Linked DNA regions of Oryzias latipes. The protein of the gene in region 1 purifies or fractionates together with the protein of each later gene. This does not show direct contact. Links are inferred from orthologs where the notes say so. Each region holds a gene or a part of one and is shown on either strand. Other genes may lie near its edges.

The links.
Region 2: the proteins of phf6 (region 1) and lyar purify together in Homo sapiens (affinity purification with mass spectrometry; 3 studies listed by BioGRID and IntAct, with this or other methods). This does not show direct contact. The link is inferred for Oryzias latipes from reciprocal best matches to the Homo sapiens genes PHF6 and LYAR.

What each region holds. Positions count from the first base shown.
Region 1 is NC_019868.2:26,618,803-26,623,079, reverse strand, and holds part of phf6 (PHD finger protein 6), read right to left. Parts: intron 3,461-4,277; coding exon 3,359-3,460; intron 2,275-3,358; coding exon 2,141-2,274; intron 2,051-2,140; coding exon 2,004-2,050; intron 843-2,003; coding exon 679-842; intron 607-678; coding exon 463-606; intron 389-462; coding exon 284-388; intron 212-283; coding exon 78-211; coding exon of another isoform or gene 74-77; exon of another isoform or gene 61-73; intron 1-60.
Region 2 is NC_019863.2:16,778,817-16,783,703, forward strand, and holds the start of lyar (cell growth-regulating nucleolar protein), read left to right. Parts: upstream 1-1,510; 5' UTR 1,511-1,848; coding exon 1,849-1,970; intron 1,971-3,125; coding exon 3,126-3,240; intron 3,241-3,317; coding exon 3,318-3,425; intron 3,426-3,526; coding exon 3,527-3,607; intron 3,608-3,802; coding exon 3,803-4,106; intron 4,107-4,216; coding exon 4,217-4,285; intron 4,286-4,430; coding exon 4,431-4,516; intron 4,517-4,630; coding exon 4,631-4,768; 3' UTR 4,769-4,887. Other genes in the region: zbtb49 (zinc finger and BTB domain-containing protein 49), read right to left, coding at 1-569, 664-815. UniProt on the Homo sapiens protein: Plays a role in the maintenance of the appropriate processing of 47S/45S pre-rRNA to 32S/30S pre-rRNAs and their subsequent processing to produce 18S and 28S rRNAs. Also acts at the level of transcription regulation.

The DNA.
Region 1 (4,277 bases):
AGCGGGATTCAGCAAAGGAACGCTACACCTCTTCCTTCAAGTAAAAAATGGGGTTTTTACTCTGGACAGGTGCTCACTTGTAGATGCCGCGGGCCATGTTCTCGATGTACTTGGCTTTGTCCTGTAGGCCGCAGTGATAGTGGTAGGTCTTCACACACGCCTTGATTTCACAGCCAATGGTGGCGCCCAACTGACCGCACAACGTGCACTTCTGGAAACAGAGAGCGGGAAGGTCAACGCAGGCCGAACGCCCGCTCGTCTGACGCGGCGGCGTCCTCCTCACCATTCTTTTGCCCCTTTTGATTTCCTGGATGACCGTTTTCACGTCGAAGTTACCGAATTCGGCTCGTGATGTTGTGGTCAGCTGCACCGTCCCAGAAGAAAAGAGCTGGAAGAAACGGCAGGTTACCGGAAAATAACAGCCGGCGGCATTGGGAGAAACGTTCGGGCTAAACGTCCCACCATGCACTTGTAGTGCGCGGCCACTTTCTTGGAGTTGTCGGTGTGCAGCAGGCCTCTGGTTTCGTTCTCCTCCTCGCCGGCGTGGCAGAACCCGCAGCGCTGGCCGCTGTCCGCCGGGCTGCTTCGGAGAGGGGACCTGTCCCGCTGAAACGCCATTCAGACGTCAACAGACGAGACTCTGGCACGGCGAAAGGAACTCAAACGGCGTTCTCTTACATGCGAGGAGCCGTCCTCATCTGCAGCCTGCGAGGAGGCGGAGCGACTTTCTTCCGACTGGCCACGAGATCCGACCTTGGCCCGGGCCTTCTCCAACCTCCCTCTGCCTCGGCTTTGTGGAGGCGAGGAGTCCGAGTCGTTGGCCACGTCTCCTTCTTCTTCGTCTGAAGAGGAAACCAACAGTTTGAGAGTCGGACCCGTTGCTGCAGGATCTTCCCAATATTTAAAGACCCACTCGATGGAAATCTTTGACGTTTTTAACAAGTCCTTGTTTCTAAGGTGGCCGAGTGGTGCAAGACACGTCTCCATTTAAGTTACAACAACAACAAAACCTAGTACCAATAAACAAATGCCGAAACACAACAGGCTGGTAAAACACGACAGCAGAAGACGGAGAAACAAATGAAGCAAAGCGAGCAGCTGCTAAAGGAAAGGGAAGAATACCCTTCATACCGGACACAATGCAAAAACTTTACCTCGCTAAACCCACTGTGGTCATTTTTTACTGTATTAATACACTTAAAAAAATGCTCTTGGACTGTTTCATATATTTATAATGTCCACATAAAAAAAAAAAACAGTAATAAGTAACTTAAAAAAAAATCATATACGATTGGTTTTATATTGCGTCCCTTTCTGTTAGAAGCCGCTTTCTTTGTTGCGTTTCTGGATTTGTAGCGGGATTGTTTCTGTTTTTCGGTATTTGGTAATTTGCAACCGTGTTTCAGGACTCTGTAAAGTGCTCCGTGATTTGCTGTTGTGTTTCAGTGTTTGTACTGGGATTTGTTGTTGCATCTTAAACGTGTCTTGCACCTCTCAGCCACCGTATTTTTCTGATAGAGAGGGACATTTATAAAGATGCTTAAACGTGCATTTCAGAGCATTTCTGTGTTCAAATAATTGGAAATCAGGAGCAGACGGAAAAAAAAATATGATGTTGGGAAAAAAAAGCACATTTGTGATGCAGAACATTTGAATTTGGATCAGCTGGAATCTGCCTCAAAACTGTAAAGCTGGATGGCTCCAATACTGCTCGCCATTTTTGTTGTTAGGTTGGGAATGTGAGCAGCTGTAAGCTAGCAGAAATAGATGGATGATGGGAAGTGGAGGAAGGACTACTCTGCCCCCACAACCCAAGAGGCACATTTCTGATGAACTCCTGCTGCTCTGCAGCAACTATGTCCCAGAAAAACGCAATAATTAAACGATCAAAGAGGGACTTTAAATTCTAAATTTAGTCCAATATTTAAAAATCAAACTAGTTAACTCGGTTATTTTAGTTAGTAAAAGGTGGAAGGCAGCTGCACAGAAACAAGGCGTCTCACCTTCAACGTCGTCCAGAGCAGCATCGCGATGTTTGCGACAGTAAACACTAAACAGACGAAAGAACCCAGAAGCTTCATTTATGAACAGGTTCAGGAAAAACCTGCAGGTTTTTCAGCAGATCACATGTTTTCCTTACAGGTAAATCCCCTGGGAGGGATTCTCCTTGACCTGGGCTTTGTCCTTCACGGCGCAATAGTAGTGATACGTCCTTCTGCACGTTTTGACGTCGCAGCCGATGGTCGCGCCCGGTCGGTGACACGAAGAACACATCTGACGGAGGGAGAGGACACGGGGGAAATAAAAGCAGAAGCACTTTTATAGAAAAGCTTCCACTCGTGATTTCATTTAATGATGGATTTAAAGAGAAAAAAACGTCATTATCATCGAGCGCAGCCTTAAAAAGTGTTCATTTTATGAAAAAAAAAAGCCCTAAAAATGCCATTTCTACATTTTACTTACTCTAGAGAGAAAAACTGAATTAATGTGTTGTGTGCATAAATGCATGTGGGTCATTATAATGCAGAGAAGATAGAAACGTTTTATTTTATTTGTTTTTGAATCAAGTTATGAGTGAAGATCTTAAATAGATTTGATATTTCTGTATTTTCTTTTATTGCTTTTTTCCTTGTTTTTGTATTTTTATTGCTAAAATCCAATCAATCAATCAAGAAGATAGAAATAAAACATAACCATTGTAGGTGAAGCAAATATCTCTGATCACACCAACAGTAATTATATTAATGCTACAATACACAAGTATTTTATTGTAACTTGAACTTTTAAGTTCACTCTTGTCTAAATGTAACTAAATGAAGTTATAACTTAAATACATAGTAAGGATATAAAGCATAACATGAAAGATTTGGATTAATGTTTATCTAGAAAAAGTAAATAAAAAGTTTTTTTTTAATTGAGGCTTCACTGGTAGAAGAAATTTAAAAAGTAACTTTAAACATGAAAGATTGGGAAAAGTAACACACAAATTTGTTTTTTTCCCAGGTACTAAAAGTGAAAAATGAAGAAATGCTCACTAATCTTTTGGTCTATAACATTTATGTTCATCATTTGACTTTTTTTTGGTCTATTTCTAATTAAAATCTAGGGATTTTTTTTTTTGGTTAACTTCTTACAGATGCATCCAGATAAGCAAAACAAAATGAATCAACACTGAAAGCATAAAACAAGACACCAGTTTCGACCTCAGTGAATGTTTCACTGCATTTCATGGACGTTTCAATACAAACTCTTCACAGGAAAAACACTAGAGATGCTATCCGATCAACAGGTATCACTTACTGAAAGAAAATGACATCAAACACGGGTGTGGATAAGAAACAGGTAACGGCAAACTCACCAATTTATTTCCCCTTTTGATCTCTTTTTTTACGTCCTCGATGGAAAAGCCTCCGATGGTGTCGCCGTCTGCGTGCGACGTGACCAGAGCTGATGAAAAAAGCTGCACAAAAACCAAACAAACGCACAAAGATTAGGGATGAAAGTATTTATCTTCCCCGCGATTCCGTTCAAACCTGAATTTTGTGCCGTTTTGGTTCGATTTACGATTTGTGTCTAACAAAACAACAACAACAAATCAGAAAAATCCTGTATTTAATATGCTATTAAGCAAGTAACAATGATGGAAAGTCTGCTGTAATAAAAGAATATTGAACATATTCAATTTAACTCACCAGGGGTTGACATAGCCCAGAAATTTGCACTGGCCCGTAGGGCCCACACCGGCCCGACACCGCGCACAGGGCGACCCGCCGCCCGCAGGCGGCACCCAGGCGACGGACGCCGCAAGCACCCCTAACTTTAGGGGGGTCCGGGGGCATGTCCCCCCGGCAAATTTTAATATGGTGCAATACACTTATCAATGATTGAAAATGGAGCATATCAAACTTAAATCTGCTCTAGTCTGTTTCAGGTTTTTTGAAGAGAGCACTGCAGTGTAGTAGTTAACACTAGTTAAGAAGTTTTCATGCTGCTTCTAATCACTGCTATTTCACATTTGTTCCTAATCAATAGTTAAGAAGTTTTATTGACTTTTTTGCTCCGGCTGCCTTGAAGTTCTGCTTTTTGTTACTGTTGCAAAGTTACAGTTACTTTTTAGATCCTTAATAACTGTTATGTTGTTCATATTGGCAGAGTTACTTGTTTAAAGTTGCAAAGTTACATTTACTTTTTAGTTACTTAATTATAATTAAATAATTGAAAGATTAAATAAAATTAAATGACTGAGATCATTCGGCTTTTGACTAGAAATACTTACT
Region 2 (4,887 bases), on another chromosome or scaffold:
GACACGCTTGTTCCTCTGCCATCATCAAAGGGCCTGGGACTTGATTTGAAGCAGCATTGTTAGTCTGAATTGCACTTAGCTTGAAGTACTGCTTACTGTAGAAATTACGGAGCTTGTATCCATGGTGCAGAGGCTTTTCTGCAGACTGGGAGCTGCTAGACATGTCACAGTTAGAGCTGCTGTTGGGTAAAGAAACCGGCATTCTTCTAGTGTGTTCCGTATCACTGTATAAGTTAGGCCGTGGAGGTTCTGTGGGACAGTGCAGGTTAACATCGTGAGTCAGGCTGCTTCCCAGAAGGCAATCGTGCTCTGAGCCTAGCATTCCTGGGAGAGTGAAGGAATGCATTTCCACGGGTGGGGGGCAAGGTTTGAGGAAAGCATTACACAAATTCTGAACGTTTGGAACTTGTAAGTTCTGTGCTATGTCTAGAAGTGCCTGTACATTCTCTTGGTTAATGTCCAGGTGGGATGTATACATGTAGTCCAATATTTGGCCAATGCCACTGACATCTTGGATAACCAAGTTAAAGACGTCATTCTTCTGACTGGGAGAATTTTGGAACAAAGACCTGAAAAACAAATGTAAAAAATGGTCATATCTCTTAGGGTTCACAGCAACACCTCATGTGGATATTCTGTTGTCAAATAAATGCATAAAAGTACCTAAAGTAGGAACTAAAAGCAGCCAGAACGTTTTTGTGAGCTTTAAAACAGACTCCTTTAACCACCAGCATGCAGTCACAAAGCAGCCCTTGGATTCTTTGCTCCTGGAGCTGCTGTAGGAGGTAGGAGCTGTGGCTGGACAGGGTCTCCATTTATGATCACTCAGCTTCCCCCCTTTTCAAAGCGAAACACACAAAAATCACATTTAAAACAACAACAACAGCCTGAGTTTACACGACTCAAAAGTAAAAGTTGATTACGAGTCAAAAGTAAAAGTTGATTAAAGGGTTGAACTCTAGTAGTGAGCCACACACCGCAGTCCATGTATAAATATATATATATATTTTTTCAAAAATAACTGTCATGTAGCTCAAGAATCGCTACAAGACCGTCCATGCAAAAATTTGACCTGCTACTAAGCTAACAGCGTGGCTATTCGAGCCATTTACAATGACAACTAATAAATAAACAGCTGACCTGTCTTAATTATAAAGGTGTTTATTTATATATATTATTTTACTATTGTCGATATCCATTCAGAGGGGTCCCAAAATCATTGTGAAGTGTTTCGTCTTTTATTGGGATGACGGGTCACTCGCGCTTAATAACATTACGTAACTTCCTGGTACAACGCTTATTTTGTACCCCTCGTGGGAAAGAAATACATCTTATACTAAACCCCCAAACAGTGGGACTATATACATTTCTAAAGTGCTGTTGAAATCGTAAATATACCTCTTTGTAGTATAATTATTTTGTGTTATGAAATGTAAAAAAAGGTTTTCAGGAAGAAAAAAAAAGGTCTGCGGAACTGGTGTCTAGTTAAAATTTCTATACGGAGAATCAAGACTGTAGCTTCAAGGAATGTAATCACGTGTCTGTTCAAAAGTTTAGACGGGAGAAACTCAACCCGCACGTTTACGCTCAAATTAAAATTTTAAAGAGGTTAATTTAACGGGCTCTAATTTTTGGGTATTTTTAAAGACAATGAAGGTTTTGTTCTTTGTCATGCGTTTTTTATAACTTACTAGAAAAAACGTTAGCTTGCCGTAGGCAGGTCTCTAGTCAGTGCATTAATTGATGGTGTTTAAAGTGGTTTAACTTTCTGTCGTTTTGCTGGTTTAATCTACATATTGTCTTTATTAATTTAGAGAAAGGTTGCTTCTGTGGATAAAATTGATCAAAATGGTGTTCTTCACCTGCAATGCGTGTGGCGAGTCTCTGAAAAAAGCCCAGGTCGATAAACACGTGAACATCTGCCGTGGGTGTCAGGTGTTGTCCTGCATTGACTGCGGAAAAGATTTCTGGTAAGACCAATTGGGTTATTTCTAAACATTACAAAATATCGTCGGGAACAAGTTTGTTTTTCCTCCAACCGGTGCCATGGTACTAGGCTGCAGGTTACCGTAGTGCCCTGTAGGCTTACTTGATTTGTTTCTTTCTCTAAACTGATTTTGATTGCCTTGGGCTTCTTTTGCGTTGTCACGTGCCTGCTAGCCCTAATTTGACTATTTCCCACCACTTCTGGGTCTGAAGTGGGATACGGGTGCATCGATCAGCTGTTGTTGCTTGGCAACAACAAAATTCCACCAGAGAAGTGACCGGAGATCGAAGGAGAGGCTGAGGAGACTGGGGTCTCTTCAGAGTTTACAGGACTCTTAAGATTTTTTTTTATTGTGGCGAAGTCCTGGGGCGGTGGCGGATGCACTAACTGACATAGGAAGAGGATCAACAAACTGGTATGGAGATACGACTCCATTCTGGATGTCCCTTATAGAGTCTGTGACTGTGGAGGGTCACAGGACGATGTTACAGAAACTGAAATGCATCATGGACAATCCTCTTCATCATCATCCTCAGCATGAAACCATGGACTTCAACACCTTGTCACAGAATTTTCTTTCTGTTAGCTACTAGACTCTACAACACCTCATAGACACTGGATGTTGGAGCCAAATTCACAGTTTATATTTAATAGTTATTTTTGGAGCCAAATGCACTGTTTTGATTTAATAGTTAATTTAAATAATTATTGTTTGAACTTCCAATTAAAAACCCTACGTCACAGAGATGCTGTTAGTGAGACTCATTGTTGATTGAAGCCGGAGAAAGTTGGAAGCGATATCGTTTTTTGACTAAATTGTAGTGGCACTCTCTCTGCGTGTCTCACTCGCGTTTCAAATAACAGTTGCCGGACAGACGTCAAACGGTGGAACAAGAGAAAGACACAGAGAGAGTGCCACTACACTGGGGAATAATCACTGTTCTTCATTTTTAAGTGTATTTTTTAGTATTAGTTATTATCTATCTGCTGTTTTTTAATAGAGCTATGGTAACACGGAAATTTCCTTTTTGTGGGATCAATAAAGATTTATTCTCTTATACTCTATTCTAACGCATAATGAGCTCTGTGACTGACCAAGTAACGCATTCAATGTGACTCTTTTCTGCGTATTACCTAGGGACGACGACTATAAAAATCACACTAAGTGTATCAGTGAAGACCAGAAGTATGGGGGGAAAGGCTTCGAGGCCAAGGCAAACAAAGGCGATGTCAAACAACAGCAGTGGTTACAGGTAAACATCTTCCCAAGTTCGATTATATGTGAACATTTGTTTTTCTTTTGGATCCTGACTTGTGTCTTTTCCTGAAGAGAATCCATGAAGCCCTGAACAAATCAAGCATCAGTCCCAAGCTGAGAGATGTGCTCAGGCAAGTCAGTGCATACGACAATGTCCCCAGGAAGAAAGCCAAGTTTCAGGTTGGTGTTACCAAAACTTGTAAGAAGGGTTTAGGCTTTTACCAGGAAGATTATTAAAATGTGTATTTACTTATTACTGTTAATGTTTTTTCTTCTTTCAGAACTGGATGAAAAACAGTCTAAAAATATCCAACACAAGCCTACACGAGGAAGTGTGGAACATAATTGCTGCTGCCGTCGATGTAAGTAGCTGTTTTGTTTGTTAAAGTAAATATTACACTAAATTATTAGCTGGGGAGCCTAAGCTTTAATGGAAATCAATGGAAAATAATATTAATGTGATATTTAAGGGCTGGAAATGTATTAAGTGTTGTGTAATACCGTTCATTCTTTCACTGTACTGTTGTTTTGCTTATCTGTAATCTTTTGCACCCCAGGTTCCAGAAGATACACAGCAGCACATGGAGAAAGAAGCTGAAGTCCAAGCAAACACTAATGGAACTCAAACTCCGTTTGGCCACGAAGATGTGAAGAAAAACAAAAAGATGAACAAAAGAGAACGCAAAGAGGCCCGGCAGCAGAACAACGGAAAAGCTCCAAAACTATATGACGAACAAGTCACACAAGAGCAGAAAGAAAGCCAAACAGGGAAAAGGAAAAAGGATGGAAAAAGAAAACACAAAGAAGCAGAAGATGAAGAGCAAAACTGTGATGAAAATGAGATATCTGCCAAGAAAAGGAGTAAATAACATTTTTTTTTCTTATTACAACACTTTTTTGTTTGTTTGATAAAAAGGATGGTTTTTGTGTTTAAGGCCTGTGTTCCTGTTTTCTTTCAACCTTTTTTCCAGTTAAGGTTGCAGCAGAGGCTAATGATGCTGAGATGTCAAATGAGGCTGAAGATCAAGCTGTTCCTCTGGGTAAGTTAACTCTAGACTGACTTAACCCAGTGGGTTATGGTCCTTAAATGATTGTATTTTATTGGGAGTCCAGTAGAGGTCAGTCTTGTTCTTCATTATATGAAAATGTTAATTTGGTTGCTCATTTCTTTGGTTTTCCTTACAGGGAAATTCCACTGGAAGGAAACCATCATGGCGGTTCTCCGTAAAACACCTGACCAGGAACTGCCCATCAAAAGGCTCAAGAAGAAAGTGAGGCTTATAGATGATAGAGTTGTTTGTTTGCTGTTAGATTCCTGATCTAAAATATTTTCTTGCTAGTTGAATCTTGATTTTTGGTTAATCCCGGCTTTCTTTACATTTTAGGTTTTGGCAGCTTATTACTCTTTCACTGGCGAGAGGAATTTTAAAACAGAGGAACAACTGATTTCTACATTCAACAAAAAGATCAGCAAAAATCCGAAGTTTAGAGTTCTGAAAGACCAAGTGAAACTTGTCAATTAGATGCTCGTGTATTTTGTAAGATTTTAAAAATAAAATCATTGCAACTGTCGATAATTATTTTTTTTTTTTTACAGTAATGGCAAAGGTTCAAATTAGGGATGTCCAAATTCTGGCCTCGA